2 linked regions of the Sus scrofa genome follow. The protein of the gene in region 1 binds, or shares a complex with, the protein of each later gene. Links are inferred from orthologs where the notes say so. Each region holds a gene or a part of one and is shown in the gene's direction. Other genes may lie near its edges. The genes, in order: ELANE and antileukoproteinase.

The links.
Region 2: the proteins of ELANE (region 1) and antileukoproteinase are in contact, whole or in part, in a crystal structure (PDB 2Z7F), measured with the Homo sapiens proteins. The link is inferred for Sus scrofa from reciprocal best matches to the Homo sapiens genes ELANE and SLPI. Residues at the interface, in NP_001963.1 of Homo sapiens: His53, Phe54, Cys55, His70, Cys71, Asn74, Val75, Pro111, Val112, Asn113, Leu114, Leu158, Ile165, Leu180, Arg182, Val197, Cys198, Phe199, Gly200, Asp201, Ser202, Ala216, Ser217, Phe218, Val219, Arg220, Gly221; in NP_003055.1 of Homo sapiens: Tyr93, Gly94, Gln95, Cys96, Leu97, Met98, Leu99, Pro102, Phe104, Met121, Cys122.

Annotation. Positions count from the first base shown.
Region 1 is NC_010444.4:77,510,977-77,519,388, reverse strand, and holds ELANE (neutrophil elastase), read left to right. Parts: upstream 1-3,270; 5' UTR 3,271-3,297; coding exon 3,298-3,454; exon of another isoform or gene 3,455-3,845; coding exon 3,846-4,002; exon of another isoform or gene 4,003-4,140; coding exon 4,141-4,282; exon of another isoform or gene 4,283-4,420; intron 4,421-4,932; coding exon 4,933-5,163; intron 5,164-5,319; coding exon 5,320-5,526; 3' UTR 5,527-5,620; downstream 5,621-8,412. Other genes in the region: CFD (complement factor D), read left to right, coding at 7,668-7,725, 8,234-8,390. UniProt on the Homo sapiens protein: Serine protease that modifies the functions of natural killer cells, monocytes and granulocytes. Inhibits C5a-dependent neutrophil enzyme release and chemotaxis. Promotes cleavage of GSDMB, thereby inhibiting pyroptosis. Promotes blood coagulation.
Region 2 is NC_010459.5:47,575,647-47,584,309, forward strand, and holds antileukoproteinase, read left to right. Parts: upstream 1-3,434; 5' UTR 3,435-3,483; coding exon 3,484-3,598; intron 3,599-4,494; coding exon 4,495-4,656; intron 4,657-5,048; coding exon 5,049-5,198; intron 5,199-5,966; coding exon 5,967-5,995; 3' UTR 5,996-6,215; downstream 6,216-8,663.

The DNA of each region.
Region 1 (8,412 bases):
TGTTGAGATGAGGGACAAGTCTGAATCCTGGGAAGTGTATGCCAATCAGTGTTGGGGAATGCTGGGAATTCCCCACATTTCCCATGGGCTTAAGGCGGGAAGTGATAGCTATAAAAAGCCCAGGGGGACTTCTGGTGCCCAGCAATGGGGGTAAATGAGGTTTGCTGGAGGGAATGTTGGATTGAGGCCATTGATGGGAACTCAAAGACTCAGACAAAACAGCCCTGGGTGTTTTCTATTTTCCATCAGCGTGTGTGTGTGTAATATGTGTGAGTGTGTGTGTGTATGTGAGAGAGAGAGAGAATGATGAGTCAGGAAAGTTCTGCCCAGCAAAGATGTGCGTGCGTGTGTGCTTGTGTGTGTGTGTGAGAGAGAGAGAGAATATGATGAGTCAGAGGAAAAGTTCTGTCCAGCAAAGATCAGACCCAAGGAGTTCCTACCATGGCACAGTGGGTTAAGAAGCTGATGACAGTGGCTGGGGCAGCTGCTGAGGCATGGGTTCAGATCCCCTGCACAGTGGGTTAAGGATCTGGCATGCAGCTGTGGCTTGGATTCAATCCCTGGCCGGGGAACTTCCATATGCCCCAGGTGGGGCCACAAAAATAAAAAAGATCACACCCAAGAAGGGGAGCTAAGGTTGGGGGCTCTGGAGCCACGGGTGGATTTGCTGGGGTTCTGCAGATTCAGGGAAGGACAAATCCACAGAAATAATAAATAGAAATAATAAACAGGAGTTCCCTCATGGCGCAGCAGAAACAAATCCAACTAGGAACTATGAGGTTGTGGATTTGATCCCTGGCCTTGCTCAGTGGGTTAAGGATCCGACATTGCCATGAGCTGTGTGCGTGATGTTGGTCACAGACACAGTTCAGACATGACGTTGCTGTGGCTGTGGTGTAGGCCGGCAGCTGTAGCTCCAATTAGACCCCTAGCCTGGGAACCTCCATATGCCACGGGTGCAGCCCTAAAAATCAAAAAAAAAAAAAAAAAGAAAGAAAAAAAATAATAAACAGGATGTTTGGGGAGAGCAGGGCCACTCCCCACAGCTCCGGGGTCTCCTGGCCTCCAGCAGTGGGAAGGACACTCAGAGTGTCGTTTTCCTTTAACAAAGATCAAGTGAGGTGCCGCCACTTCGTCATCACACTCTGATGGTGAATCAGGCTCCCCCAGACGCCTGGCCCTGCCCTCCAGGGGGTGGTTAATGGTTAACAGACCCTCAAGGACCTCACTTTCTTACTGAAGAACTTCACAAAAGTTCATTCATTTAATCCTGGGACAATCCTGTGAGTTGGCGACTGATTATCATCACTTCTGTTTTACTTTTTTTTTTTTTTTTTTGCTTTTCAGGGCTGCACCTGCAGCATATGGAAGTTTCCAGGCTAAAAAGCTGAATCAGAGCTGCAGCTGCCAACCTATGCCACAGTCACAGCAACACGGGATCTGAACTGTGTCTATGACCTATACCACAGCTCAGAGCAACACCGGATCCTCAACCCACTGAAGGGGGCCAGGGATGGAACCCGCGTCCTCATGGATACTAGTCGGGTTCGTTACGACTGAGCCACACCAGGAACTCCTATCACCACTTTCATTTTACAGATGAGGAAACCAAGGCACGGAGTTGTCTGTAGCATGAAGTCATGGTGGGCAAGTGGCCACGCCACCCTCTGAACCCAGAAGCCAGGTGCTTAACCTCTATAACCACTGAGAATGGAGTATACAGGTGGTGCTCAATAGAAGCAGCTTTGGTTAAATATCCCTGCCTGAAGCGCATCCCCCAAAGTCTGGACCTCCTCCATCCTGCCCCACCCCAAGATTGGAAACAGGTTGTGTATGCAGCAGGCGTTTAACAAGTGCTCTATGGGATCCTGCTGTATAGCACTGGGAATTATATCTAGCCACTTACAATGGAGCATGATAATGAGAAAAAAGTATGTATATATGTTATGTGTAACTGTCAACTTGATGTACAGTAGAAAATTGACAGAACACTGTAAACCAGCTATGATGGAAAAAATAAAAATCATCATTGAAAAAATAAATAACATGTGCTCTATGGTGGCTGTAACTCAATCGAGAAGGAAGGGAGCTGAGACGGGCTGATGTGCCTCAGCCCAGGGGAGGGACGAAGGGTGGACACTGAGCGTCTGCTGTGTACTGGAGAGAGATGGGGGTTCACCTGCCTGTGGCCACACACCAAGGGGGCCCAGGGACAAACTGGACTTCAGCCCCAGCCTGCTTCTGGGCATCCCTGGGTGCCCCCGCCTGCCTGTTTCTGCAGATGGATCCGTTGGTTCCCTCCCCTGAACCCTGCTCCAAGCCAGGAGAACGTTGCTTCTTGCGACAGCCTTGGCTATGGCCGTTGCAGCTGGAGCAGCCGCCGGGGGGAGGTGGGAAGGGGAACAGGGGCCCCTGGGCTGGGGACTGGCCCTGACGGACCCCATCTCTACTGTTGGCTTAAGTTCTTCCAAGGTCTGGCCAAAGCTCTCAAACTTGGATGGAGAGCCATGGTCCAGCTGCCAGGCCTGGGTGGGAATTTTTTTTCCACTGCCTCAGGCTGGAAGTGGCTTCAGAGAAGCTCAAAGCAGGGGGTGGGGGTGTCCCAGAACCTCTGAGGGCCACCAGAGACTGAGCCTTGGGTGGCAGTGAGTTCCCTGTTAGGAGCCACAACCAAAGAAAAGATGGAAATCAGGCCCCAAGAGAGAGACCCAAGGCTGGAAGAGGAGGTAGCAAGTTACCTTCCTGCTGTGACCTGTGGACATCTGAGTTTGAACCCCAGTTCCCCCACCACATCACTGGGTAGGTGGTTTGCAGGGGCGGAGGGGGTGGGGATGGTGGCTCACTGTGCCTCAGTTTCCCCCTCTTAAATGGGGACCCAGCAGGCCCTGCCATGCCTCCCAAATGTCAGGACAGTGCTGGGGGGCTGCCATTATTACAGGGACCTGGGTAAACCAAGGCACGTGGGCATCCCAGCCAAGTCCTTTGGGCCTAGGTTGGGGAGATTTAGCAAAAACACAGGAAGCTCATTAATTCTGAATGTTGGAAAGATAAAGACTGACTTTATATAGATCAGTATATGCTGTGCAATATTTGGGATATACTTACACTTAAAAAAAAAAAAAGTTTATCTGACATTCCAATTGTATTGTGCGTCCTGAGTTTTATCTGGTGACCTTCTGGAGCCAGCCTGACCCCCTGCTCCCGTCCTCCTCCCGGATTCTTCCCACCACTCCCTCATCCCCCATATCCCCTGCACTGGGAGAGGGCGGAGAGGAAGTGGGGGCACCTGGCCCCACCATGGGGCAACCTCAACGGCCTCGAGGCAGGGGGGTTATAAGAGGGGCAAGGGGATTCCAAGAGCAGAGTCACTGCTGCCCCAGCCCAATCATGACCCAGAGCTGCAGACCCTCCAGCCCTGCCCTGGCCCCGGTCCTACTGACCCTGCTGCTGGGCGGTGAGTGGGGCCATGCAGGTCTCCTAAGGGCATCCAGTCCTGCCTCTCCTCTTACTCTGCACCTTCTTGGTCCCTCATCCTCATGGGGAGTGACAGTTGGGGTGAGGTGGGAAGGTGGGGGTCTCTAGGCACCCCCCGGGGACTCGAAGGTGGGAAGGTGGGGTCTCTAGGCACCCCCCCGGGACTCGAAGGTGGGAAGGTGGGGGTCTCTAGGCACCCTCCGGGGACTCGAAGTGGGTGAAGTCTAAAGCTCTAGCTGCGCCCTGCAGGGGGACCATGCAGGCCACTCCCCTCTAGGGACAGGGTGGCTGCCTTGTGGGGGTTCACTGGCCGACTGACCTTGGCGGGGCTCCTCCGCGCGGCTCACCGCCCCCACCGCCTGCGCCCCCAGGCCCCGCGCTGGCCTCGGAAATCGTGGGGGGCCGGCCGGCCAGGCCACATGCATGGCCCTTCATGGCGTCCCTGCAGCGGCGCGGAAGCCACTTCTGCGGCGGCACCCTCATAGCGCGGAACTTCGTCCTGTCGGCCGCGCACTGTCTGAACGGCTTGTGAGTGTACCCCCACCCCCGCAACCTCAGTTTCCAGTTTTCGCGGGGCCGGGGCTGGGGGCCTCGGCCGAGGTGCGCGGCTCTATGGGACCCCTGCGCCCGCACGGGTGACGACTCAATCGCCTCCTCCTGCCCCAGAAACTTTCGGTCCGTGCGCGTGGTTCTGGGGGCACACAACCTGCGACGGGGCGAGTCCACCAGGCAGAAGTTCAGAATCCAGCGGGTCTTTGAAAACGGCTTCGACCCCATGACCCTGCGGAACGACATTGTGGTTCTCCAGGTGCGAGGCGCGGGTGGGGAAGAACTGGCAGGTGCAAAGGCCCAGCTTAGTTTGGGGAGGGCGGAGCATGGGCAGGAGACTGGGGACACGGTGAGGACAGGCCTGGTGTCCCATCTCTCTGTGCTTCAGTCTTCCCCTCTGTGAGACGGAAATAAGTCAGATGCCAGGACAGCAGGGAAGCTCTGAGCAACTGTCAATCAATAAGGATAGTATTTCTGGAGCCCACAGGGATGAGGCGCAGGGACCTCTTGGTCCGTGGAAATAGGGTCAAAATTCTCCACGTTCATGTGAATAGGAGACTGGAGGGAGAGAACTGTCCTTCCCCACTGCTTGAATAGCTATGGTTATTTTCTGTAAAGTTCTAGAACAATGGCTTTATTGCTGGTGGTGTTACCCATAGTTTTGTTTTCTTGAGTACCTACTGTTTACTGGACTCAAAACATGTCTGGGGATGCCCTGGGTCACAGTGGCTGCTCGCACTTTACAAACAGGAAAGGGTGGGAACCATCCTGCAGGGTGGATATCTGGCTCTCAGATATCCCAGGACCATGGTGGAGCCCTGGGTGGGGGAAAACTTGGGGCCCAGAAAGATGAAGGTTGTTGTTCACTGCCTCCTGTGACCTGCCACTGCTCTGTACAACCTGCTGCAGCTCAACAGATTTGCCTTCATCAATAGCAACGTGCAGGTGGCCCAGCTACCTGCTCAGGACCAAGGCGTGGGGGAAGGGGTGCGATGTCTGGCCATGGGCTGGGGCCAGCTGGGCACGAACCGGCCACCGCCCCGAGTCCTGCAGCAGCTCAATGTGACTGTGGTGACAGCCCTCTGCCGCCCCACCAATGTGTGCACCCTGGTACCAGGCCGGCAGGCTGGCATCTGCTTTGTACGTATCTTGCGTTCCCACAACCCACCCCTTGCTCCCACCCAGGCTGCAGCAACCAAGACCCCTGGAAGAACTTCCAGCTCCTGAAGGGCAGTGGGTGGGGATGTTAGGGTGGGGCCTGAAAGCCCAGCCTCCCAAACTTGTCTGCTTCCACAGGGGGACTCCGGCGGGCCCTTGGTCTGCAATGGGCTGGTCCAGGGGATAGATTCCTTCATCCGGGGGGGCTGTGGCTCTGGGCTCTTCCCAGACACCTTTGCCTCCACCGCCAAGTTTGCAGACTGGATCAACTCCATTATCCGACGCTATGGTGATAATGACAGCCCGCCTCTCCACCCCAGGATCCCTGTGGGCAGGACCCTCTAGAAAGGCGGCCCCTGTTACCCCACTCCCCCCGGCTGGGCTCTTCCCATGCAGCATCATGCAGCATCTGACACAATAAAAACCCTGTTTTGTAGAATGTGCCTGGGTGTTTGTTGGTTGTGCAACTGAGTGTCAGAAGTCCTCAGGTGAATGTCTTGAGCATGTCACAAGTACGCTGCTACCAAGTAGCAGCAAATTTAGTGCACCAAGATAAAAAGTCCCTTCCTCATACTTCACTAAAGGATACCAGTAGCCGTTTCTGGCTTCCCCTCCTATAAAATGTCATTAGACTCTTGTTGCAGGTGGCAAGAATGCAAAGCACTATAGCAGGTGTTCATTCTGAGTCACAAGGATCATTCTGAATCTTTGCAATCTTCACTCATCTGTTTCTGGCTCCAGCCCCTAAAGTAGTTCTTATATAAGTGCCTTGTTTTACAGGCGAGGAAGTAGAGATGCAAAGAACTGTAAAGTCATGCTCCAGGGCCTGGGTTCGAGTCCCAGCTCTGTGACTTTGGGCAAATTGCTCACTGTTTCTCTGATTCTCAGTTCCCCATGGGGAAGACTGAGGCACTGTCTGGGGAGGACCCAATCAGGGGTTGGGGTCCAGGCCAGTCTCGGCCTCACTGGGTACGGAAACAATCCTTCCTCCACTTCCCCAACCTTTTGCCTTGGGACACCTCAGGGTCTTAACTAGTGCTGTTCCCTCTGCCTTCCAGCTTCTCCCTAAGGTTGTCCTCAGAACACCTCTCCCCACAAGGGCCAGCTGCTCAGGCAGGTGACCCACTGCCCTACAACTGCTTTTTCCACTTAATACGATATCTTGGCGGTCTTTCCATGTCAACAAAGCATCCCAGGATCTGCAGGGTTATTTACTGAACCATTCTGTCTTTTTGGGTAATTTCCAAATTTTGCTGCAATTTCCAATCCTTTTACTTACATAATCTGCACTCCACATTCCAATGGGCTTTTGTTTTAGAGTTTCTGATTTGAGCAAGGAAACATTTTAGGGTCTAACAAATTGCATTTGTTATGCTGTTTTCTATTTTTCTCTGTATGTGTGAAATGGTCCACCATGAAGAAAAAAGAAGGAAAGGAGAAAATACCATGCACTGTTCCTCCTGGGGACGTTCACGGTCCTCCCCACCCTTGTGGTTACACACAGCATCTCCCCCGAAGAGGTTCATGAGATGTTGACCCACCATCCCCAGCTTACAGAGAACCATGTGACCCAGGTTCTGCTCATCAGAACCTGCCAACCCACAATGGCTGCTTTAGGGGCATGAGATCCAAACTCAACCAATCAGAGGCCGCCTTGAGATGCTGGCTAGAGTGATGGGGAATTGGCAGAGGGAATAACTGGGCCATTGGTCTGAGTCTAGGGCCCCTGAGGCCACAACAGGGGAGACTGCTGAGGAGACAACCCATCAAGGAGGAAAAAAAGAAACAAAACATTGTTCAGGTGCCTGGATTAAGCTACACCTGAAGGTAGACCCATAAACTTTCCATTTAAATTTTCTTGTTGAAGGTTCCAGCCCCTTACACTCCATTTTTTTGTCACTTGTATGCAACAGTCTTTCCAGCTGTCCCTACTCATCAACAATATTCTACTTAAAGGGTGTCAAGCCCCAGAGTCACAGCAATGTGGACAAGGGCGTTGGATGACCTTCCCCCCCACCCGACCTCAGCTCCAAGTTGCAGGAGGAAGGGAAAGAAGGGAGGGGCAGAAAATGAGGAAGTGGGTTGTTTACAAACTGGGCTTGCTCTCCAGCTGCTGTTGCGAAACTCTGGGGCTGGAAGGGCACTCTGGGAGACTGGGCTGGGGGTCAGGGTGGGTGGGTGGGTGGGTCCATCCCTCTGCTCTGCCCACCGCCCATCCTGAGGGGCTCTTCCCACAGAATGACAGAGGTGGCAGGCAGGTCCAGCAGCCCATCTACTCTTGGTACAAAGTCTAGGGGAAGATAATCACAGCACTGTGGCGGGGGAAGTGGGGGGAGAGAAGGGCGTGGACGGCTTCCCTTTGTTCAGCTGGGCCACTGCCCACTTGGCAGATAGGACCTGTGGGAGCTCCCCCCCCACCCCGTTCCACCCTCATAAAAGAACCCCAGAGCCCTGCCCTGGGCCATTGTTGAGGCCACAGCAGCATCATGGCAGACCGCTCCGGGCACCTGGCAGCCCTGATCCTCCTCGGAGCAGCTGTATGTGGTGAGTGGACCCGGGACTGGGGTGCCAGCTGGGGGCCCCTAGCCTGCAGCGCAGTCAGCCATGGACCCCTCCGCTCAAGAGGATGGCCCTCCAGCCCCACTAGGTGGGCAGAGAGGGGGCAGGGTCCACATGAACAGAAGGCTCTGAAAACCAAGCAATTCTCAAAACTTTGAATCTAGTGAGTTCAGAGAGCCTCTGGTTCTACAACAGAAAGCCCAGGCTGGGAGCAAACGGCTGGCAGGATGTTGGGTCTGATCAGCCCCACTTGTCTGTGTCTATATTGAAGTTCTAGGGCCCAGTGTGTAGGTACGCGGAGTCTGCCCCAGACTGTCACTCCCCACCGCCCGGTCTGTCTTCTTCAGCATCCCTCCCTGGGCCCCCAGAGTTTGCAACTCTTTGGGGAGGATCCCAAGGAAGGAATTTCAGTCTGAGGGTGCCAGAGCCGCTCTCTTAGAGGGAATCTGAGGTCTGGGCTGCAGTCACCCTCACTCGGACCTGCATCCTCCAGTGGCACAGCCCCGTGGCCGGATCCTGGGTGGCCAGGAGGCCAAGTCCCACGAGAGACCCTACATGGCATCGGTGCAGGTGAACGGCAAGCACGTGTGCGGAGGCTTCCTGGTGTCTGAGCAGTGGGTGCTGAGTGCAGCACACTGCCTGGAGGACGTGTGAGTGGCCCAGGACCAAGAG
Region 2 (8,663 bases), on another chromosome or scaffold:
TTGTTTTATTCTTGCCAAAGTTATGCACGCAGATAGATTACAGAGTCGCCTCGTTTTGCAAAGCATTTGTGATACATCACGGTTGCTTACCACCACTTCCCCCTGGAGGAAACCACTTTTAGTTTATCAACTTAGCCCAGAGCTCCCTGTCTAAGGAATATTCTTTATGCGACATCTTGTAATAACCACGCTACTTCTTGCCTTTTCGCTTTTAGACACAAGCCATTGACTTTCTAGAACTGAAAAGGGGATTTCTGCCCATCTGTTTGCTCCCTGAACCTCTGGAATGCAGACTCGCCCTTCTACCCCCCTTCTTCCCATCAGCCTAATGGGGTCATTGCGATTTGGTCAGCGCTACTGTTTACAGCATTAGCACTGTGTCAACACTGTCGCTCTGTAGTCAACCAAACTACTCTTCCTTTCTGGCACAACTTTTTTTTTTTTTGTCTTTTATGGAAGTTCCCAGGCTAGGGGTTGAATCTGAGCTGCAGCTGCCAGCCACAGCCACAGCCATAGCCACGTCAGATCTGAGCTGCATCTGCGAACTACACCACAGCTCATAGCAACACCAGATCTTTAACCCACTTAACAAGGCCAGGGATCGAACCTGCGTCCTCATGGATACTAGTCCGATTCATTTCTGCTGAGCCACGACGGGAACTCCTGGTATAACTTTTAACTTTTTTTCTGATGTGAAAAGATTGTGTAGTTTTGTACTTGCTTGGTTTTCCGTGTACATATCACCTATTCAACCACAAACTCTGCACCAGTTGCCTATATCTCCTTGTTGTGTATTCATATGTGCCAGATATTCCTTTAATTTCACCTTCCAGAAGATGAAGTTCCTGGAGCCCTCTGACCTCCTCCAATCTGGGCTGGTAGCTCTGGGGGTTTTTTTGTTTTTTATTTTTTGTTTCTTCTTCTTTTAAAAAGAGAATTAAAGGGATGTACATGCTGTAAAATTTGGTTGCGATGATGTTGTACACCTATAAATGTAATAACATTCAATAAGTATTTAAAAAATAAAAAATAGGAGTTCCCGTCGTGGCTCCGTGGTTAACGAATCCGACTAGGAATGACGAGGTTTCGGGTTCAATCCCCAGCCTTGCTCAGTGGGTTAAGGATCCAGCGTTGCCTTGAGCTGTGGTGTAGGTCGCAGACTCGGCTCGGATCCCACGTTGCTGTGGCTCTGGCGTAGGCTGGTGGCTACAGCTCCGATTGGACCCCTAGTCTGAGAACCTCCATATGCCGCAGGTACGGCCCTAGAAAAGACAAAAAATAAAAAATAAAAGAGAATTACAATGCTTTTATTTTTATTTTTTTTCTCCTTGAGTGTCTTTAAAATTTTTTGGGGGGCCACATGCAGAAATTCCTGGGCCAAGGATCTAAACCCTCACCACAGCAGCAACCTGGGCTGCTGCAGTGTCAATGCCAAGTATTTAACCAGCTACTCCACAAGGGAACCCCTAAAAAAACGTTTTTTGTTGTCATTGATGTAAAATATTACATGTTACAGGGGTACAAGACAGTATTCACAGTTTTAAGTGGTATACTCCTCTTATGGTTATAGAATATGAGCTATGTTCCCTGTGTAGTAAAATACAGCCTTGTAGCTTATTTTACACATAATAGTTTATGCCTCTTAATCCTCTACCCCTTTTTGCCCCTCCCCCCAACCCCTCTCCCCACTGTAACTGCTAGTTTGTCCTGTCTGTATTTCTGGCACTCAGCTGTCACTCTGAGATGGTCTGTCACCAGCATCATGGGGACTCCCTTTTCCTCCTCTACATTCTATTTTCTGTATTTTGTGCATTTTTTTCTTGGTTTCACCTTAATAGGCCCCCTTTTTAAAAAATATTTGATCATACTTGATTTACAATGTTCTGTCAGTTTCTGGCACAGCAAAGTGACCCAGCCATGCATCCCTATTCTTTCGTTTTTGTCACATTTTCCTCCATCATCTTCCACCACAAGTGATCAGATAGAGTTCCCTGTGCTATACAGCTGACTCTCACTTCTTATCCACCCCCAAATGAAACAGCTTGCATCTACTAACCCCAAACGCCCAGTCTCTCCCCCCGCCCGGCAACCACAAGTCTGTTCTCCATGTCCATGAGCTTGTTTATTTCTGTTGCTAGGTTCATTTGTGCCGTATATTAGATTCCAGGTATAAGTGATATCATGTGGCATTTGTCTTTCTCCTTCTGACTTAATAGGTTTCCTTTTGATATTTAGAACTTCCTGTTTAGAACTGTCCTATACGAACTTCTCACCATGTAGCCATGGTCCAATAAAAGTCCATTATAATCATGAAAGAGCAGTGGGGGTAATTTGGGGGTGTGAGAGAATTTTTTGAGTATGTTAAATGGCAACCCCTCTTAACTGGCTATTTCCCTGACTGCTAAAAAGAGCCCCATCGGTTTATCTCAAGAAAAGTAGCTCAAATGTGGAGTTCCCGTCATGGCTTAGGGGTTCACGAATCTGACTAGGAACCATGAGGTTGCAGGTTCAATCCTGGGCCTTGCTCAGTGGGTTAAGGATCCGGCATTGCCATGAGCTGTGGTGTAGGCCACAGACATGGCTCGGATCTGGCGTTGCCGTGGCAGTGGCGTAGGCTGGAAGCCACAGCTCCGATTCAACCCCTAGCCTGGGAACCTCAATATGCTGCAGGTGCGGCCCTAGAAAAGACAAAAAAAGACCCCAAAAAAATTTTTTAAAAAAAGTAACTCAAATGTGATTCCCTTCACACCGATTTCATTTCTGGCCGCAGAGCTAAGCGGTAGTTGCTCATGCTTCACTGTCCTTCCACCCTCTTTGACTCGAATCCTCCTGAGTGACTCAGTCAGCCACGATCATGCCCACTTCACAGCTGGGAAGGCTGGGGCCCAAAACGGTTTCGACTGCTGTCCCCTCCTCACCTGTCATTCATCAAGGCTTCTCTGTGTGACTGCCCTGTAGGTAGTACATCAAAACAGGTCAGGAGAGAGTGAGAGAAAAGTCACCTGATGTTTGGGGAAGGGAGTGACTCCGGGCGGTGGTGATTTCGCAGCGAATGTGGCAATCCCCAAGAGCCCAGGAGTGTGGCAAAATCAGGACACTTTGAGAGGCCCCAGCTTGCTGACTGTTCCAGGCTTCAAAGAAGCTCCTTTGCCATGTCTTTCTGTTCTGCCCTCTTTGCCCCTCCCTACTCCACCCCAAAGGTGGGTGGTGCAGGGTCCCCTAAGGTGTCCCAGAATGGCATCCTGACCAGCCTGGTGACACCTCCCCCTCCAAGTCCTCCATTTCCCTTCCCGGGCCTCAGGCTCTTGCCTAAGGGCAGAAAAGAGCCATAAACACTATGGGGTCACAGTCCTCACCCAAATTTCCTGCTTATGAAATAGCAGCTGGGAGGGTTCAAGGCAATTCTGAGGGGAACCGCACCCATAGGAGGAGGTATAAAGGGGGAAGCTGCCACAGGCCACCACAGCCCCACCTGCCCTCACGATGAAGCCCAGCAGCCTTTTCATCTTCCTGGTGATATTTGCCTCTGGATTCCTGACGTCCTGGGCTGTGAAAGGGGCTGGCGAAGAGGAGTCGGAGTCTTTAAAGCCACGTCCAGGTACCACAGTCAGTGGTGGCTCATTGTGCGAACAGCCTCTTCTTTTGAGACTGGGAGCTGACCGTCAAGGCATCTTTCCAATGGTCTGGCCTATGCCCCCTAATTTCAAGCTTCTCTCTGAGGACTTCAGCTAAGAAAGTTGCTAAAAATCTACCTTTTATCAGATGGACTTGTTTATTCCAACTCCCGTATTTCTTATTTTTCTTTCTCTATAGAACCTTCTTTACTGTGTTTTTTTATTATTCTTCTTCTTTCCTGCCATGTTAATTTGGTCTCTATCTGTTTTAATGTTTTAAATTGTTGTCTTTTTCTCTTAATGTTTCTTGCTTAATGGTCACTCACTTTCTCGATGTGCTTCTCAGTGGATCTTTTTTCTTTTGTTTAATCTCTGATGCGTTGCCTCTGCTGCTCTCACTGCCCTTCTCTTTCTCCCTCCCAGCCAGCCCTGGGCCTGGAGCATTTGTTCATGGGCTCTATTCAGCCACTTACTGGAGCTGGTTTATGCTGGCTTCAAACGGCTGGCTGTAAAATCTGCAAGATTTATGAGAGCTAGTTGATGTCCCATTGGTAGCTTGAAATTAGCCACGGTGGGACTGTTTATACCATGGGAGTCTGCAGATGCTGCAAAGTCTCCCTCTTAAAACATCCAGCAGCACACGGTCATCCATACCTTTCTCTTTTGTGCCATTGTCTCTCTTTTGGTTGAGTGGTTGGCTGAGTTTGGCACTGCTCCACCCTTGCCTTGAAACTGGAATCCTAATGGCTCCTTTCATTCCTTTGGGGTCAGCCTCCTGGGTTGGGTTTTCTCTCCTCTCCTGGGAAGCTGGTCCCTTGTCCAGGACTGTGGTCATGACTCAACCTCAGCTGTTTCTTCCTCCTTTGTTGTTACCCTTCAGGAAAAACTAAACGTGGATCCTGCCCCTTCATACGCCCTGCAATGTGCCTGGTATATGAACCCCCTGAATGCCAGAATGACTGGCAGTGTCCAAAGAGGAAAAAATGCTGCCGTGACACTTGTGGCATCAAATGCTTGGATCCTGTAAACCCATCAAAGTCAGGTGAGGAAGTAGAGTCCTAAGAAGGGAGACCTGGGAGATTTGAACTTGAGGACATGCATCTTGAAAAAGTGGAGGGGGCTCCTCTGAACTGGGCTGGAGGGTGGGGCAGAGCCAAGGCTCCTCCACCCCTAGCTCTGTATTCTCAGGTAGGCAGTGGGTCAGTTGGTGAGCCCGTCAACCAGCTAACCAGTCAATCAATTAATGAATCAGTCTGTCTGTTAGACACTGAAAGCACTGGTTGGGGCGCCCTTGGTGGGGAGGAATCTCCTTTAGGACATGCACTGGCCTTAGTTTGGGTCCTGAGGTTGAGGAAGAACTGTTTCCATGCATAGGATCAGGGTGGGAGCTTGAGTGATGTCCAGGAAGTGAAGTTGTGGCCTTGTTTTTACCAGTTAAGATCAATCCTGGGAAGTGTCCAGTGGTCACTGGCCAGTGCAAGATGCTCAACCCCATAGACCACTGCCAGAATGACAGCAACTGCCTGAATGGTCTCAAGTGCTGCAAGGGTATATGTGGGAACATATGTGTCCAGCCGGTAAAAGGTAAGGAGAAGATCTGGCAAGATCCACATGCCCCCTGGATCCTATAGTCTCACCCTCCTGGGGCCCTTGCATGTGAAGGAGGATGCTTGATGTCTCCCAGGACTGCTCATTCCATCAAGCAGATCCTCTGCCCCTCAACATCCTTCACTCCCTAGAGTTCTCTAGATAAGAAGCCCTGAAGGTCATCTGTGACAGGTCCAGTTGGGTCCTGGGGAAAGAAGGATTTTTGGAATAAGCCAGGAGGAAGAAGTCATGATACAAGGGGCAAAAGGTCTATTGTTTAATGGCATCTCTGCCTCTGACTGAACGTATGACTATGAGAAACTGACTCTATCTTTTTCTTAGCCTCAGTTTCCCCATCTGTAAAATGGGCACGATTTTATCCACAGAAATACTAAGTGTAAAAGTGCTTTTTAAGACTTGAAGTGCTGTGTGCATTGGAAGAATGTTGCTTTGGTTATGGCCCCAATTGGCTGTGTTATCTGCAACCACAGAAAACTAGTAAGAGGTACAGATGTAGCTCTGGCCCAGTGCCTTGGATTTACCAGAAGAAAGACTGCAGTGTAGTGTCAGTGAAAAGCCTGGATTTTTTCCCCCCAATTTCTAGATCAAAGACCAGCATCATTTCAACTATTCCAGCACCATGCTCTCTCCCTACTTATCCCAAGGAATTTAGTCTGGTGGCAGAAGGACCTTCTTGGTGGGAAACAGAGAAGGCTCACTTATATTGCTCCTGTGCTGAGGCTCTGCTTTATTTTCTCTCCTCAGATGTATCCTTGCCAGTTCAATACGGTTAGGACTTTCCGGTCCATGTGGTCTGGGGATTTCTTTTTTCCCCAAGCCTGAAAAAAATGAAAACACCTTGGTGAAGATGTGGCTTTGTGACCTATACTTCGTTGGGGGCCAAGTTTTGGATATTTTACCTGTGTATTCCCAGTATCCAACGTGAAGTTTGGTACATGGCAGGAAATGTCTGTTGATTGGCAAATAAATAAATGCTCAAGGTTTTCTCTGAAATTCCATCTTCCTTGATTCATTGAGTCTGGTCTAGGATATGAGGGGTAAGATAAAGAAGACCATATCTGGGAGTTCCCGTCGTGGTTCAGTGGTTAACGAATCTGACTAGGAGCTGTGAGGTTTCGGGTTCAATCCCTGGCCTTGCTCAGTGGGTTAAGGATCCAGCATTGTCACTGCTTTGACTCAGGTCACTGCTGTGGTGCAGTTTTAATCCCTGGCTCCAGAACTTCTGCATGCTGCTGGCGTGGCCAAAAAAAAAAAAAAAAAAAAAAAAAAAAATTCAGGGAAAAAAAAAAAAGAAATAAAATATGTGAAGAATTTCTACAAATTAGTTAAGAAAAGCATGGAGTTGCTGTCGTGGCACAGTGGTTAATGAATCCGACTAGGAACCACGAAGTTGCAGGTTCGACCCCTGGTGGCCTCACTCAGTAGGTTAAGGATCTGGCATTTCAGTGAGCTGTGGTGTAGGTCACAGACACGGCTCAGATCCCAAGTTGCTGTGGCTGTGGTGTAGGCTGGCAGCTATAGCTCTGATTGGACCTCTAGCCTGGGAACCTCCATATGCTGCGGGTGCGGCCCTGGAAAAGGCAAAAGAAAGACTGAAAAAAAAAAAGAAAAGAAGCCCACCTCTTAGAAAAATCAATTATGAATATAATAAGCAAAGAAGAGGTAGTATATGTCCAATACAGACATATAAAGAGCTTCGATCTCACTAGTTTTAAAGAAAAAGACAATTAAAACAACCATTTTCGGAGTTCCTGTCGTGGCTCAGCAGAAACGAATCCGACTAGTAACCATGAGGTTTCGGGTTTGATCCCTGGCCTCTATCGGTGTGTTAAGGATCTGGCATTGCCATGAGTTGTGGTGTAGGTCGCAGACAAGGCTTAGATCCTGCATTGCTGTGGCTGTGGTGTAGGCCAGCAGCTGCAGCTCCGATTCAACCCCTAGCCTGCGAACTTCCGTATGCTACGGGTGTGGCCCTAAAAACACAAGGAGAAAAAAAAAAAAAAAGCCAAGCATTTTTACCCATTGTAATGGCAAGAATTAAAAGTCTATAATATAAACTCTCAGAGACTCTAATAGTTTGCTGACGGAAGTGTAAATTGGTACAGCCACTTAGAAGAATGCCTAATAAAACTGAAAATTCACACAAGCTATAATTTAGCAAGTTTCCTTCCAGATATATAAGAAAGAAAAAATATTTGCCAATGGGAACTTAATACGTATATTAAGATGTTTATTGTAAGATGGTTCCAAAGGGTCAGAAATTGAGAACAATCAAGAGAGCCCTTATTTGTGAAATGGTTAAATTTTCATATCTTGATATACTATAGAAAAATAAAAATAAATTTATACAAATCTATGTAAATCTATGGAGACATACCACAGAAAAGTTTGTCCAGAAAATCAGATTAGTGGTATAAACATGTAGTATGAAGTATTCATATATATTTTTTAAATCACACAAAAGATATCAAGGGTTTATGAGTATATACCAAAGAATACAGACCAAATGCAGGATGACGCCTTTCTCTATGGAAGAGGAATTAAAAATGGAACTGGGGAAAATTCCCTTGTGGTGCAACAGGTTAAGGATCCGGTGTTGCCACAGTTGTGGTGCAGGCACGCAATTGCAGTGTGGATTTTATCCTTGGCCTGGGAATGTCAACATGCAGCTAACAAAAAAAAAAAGAAAGAAAGAAAGAAACTGGGAATCTTGACCATGGAAACTGATGATTTATCTTCAAGCTTTAATACTTGAAAATAAAACGAATATATAATCCCCCCACCCTGGGTACTTCTGGCATCAAAGTTAGGGTAGGAGTTCCAACTATGGTTCAGTGGTAACGAACCTAACCAGTATCCATGAGAACACAGGTTCGTTCCCTGGCCCCACTAGGTGGGTTAAGGATCCAGCATTGCTGTGAGCTGTGGTGTGGGTCACAGACTCGGCTCGGATCTGGTCTTGTGGTGGCTGTGGTGTAGACCGGCAGCTGCAGCTCTGATTCAACCCCTAGCCTGGGAACTTTCATATGCCATGGGTGTGGCCCTAAGGAAAAAAAAAAAAAGTTGGGGTAAAACAAATCTGTCTCTCTCTTTTTTTTTTCTTCCCAAAACCACACCCAATGACATGGAGAGCAAGAAACAGAAACCCATCTTGGGTAAAAACTAGAAATTGTACCCACTGGCTACAATATAGAATTTGAGATCAAAATTTCAAATTGGAGAAATTTGAAAGCTAATGATTTGCAGCAGGAGATGTTTATGAGGAGCCCTGTAGAATGTCTAAAGGGCTCCAAACTTAAGAGTAGGATAGAGAGGCAGATTGTAAAGGTGGGGAGATGCCGTTTTAATATCTGTACAAAGAGCAGTTTGGCCTTCAGGTCTACGCCCATATCTTAGGCACATTCTAAGAAGTTGGAGGAGGAGTTCCTGTTGTGGCTCAGG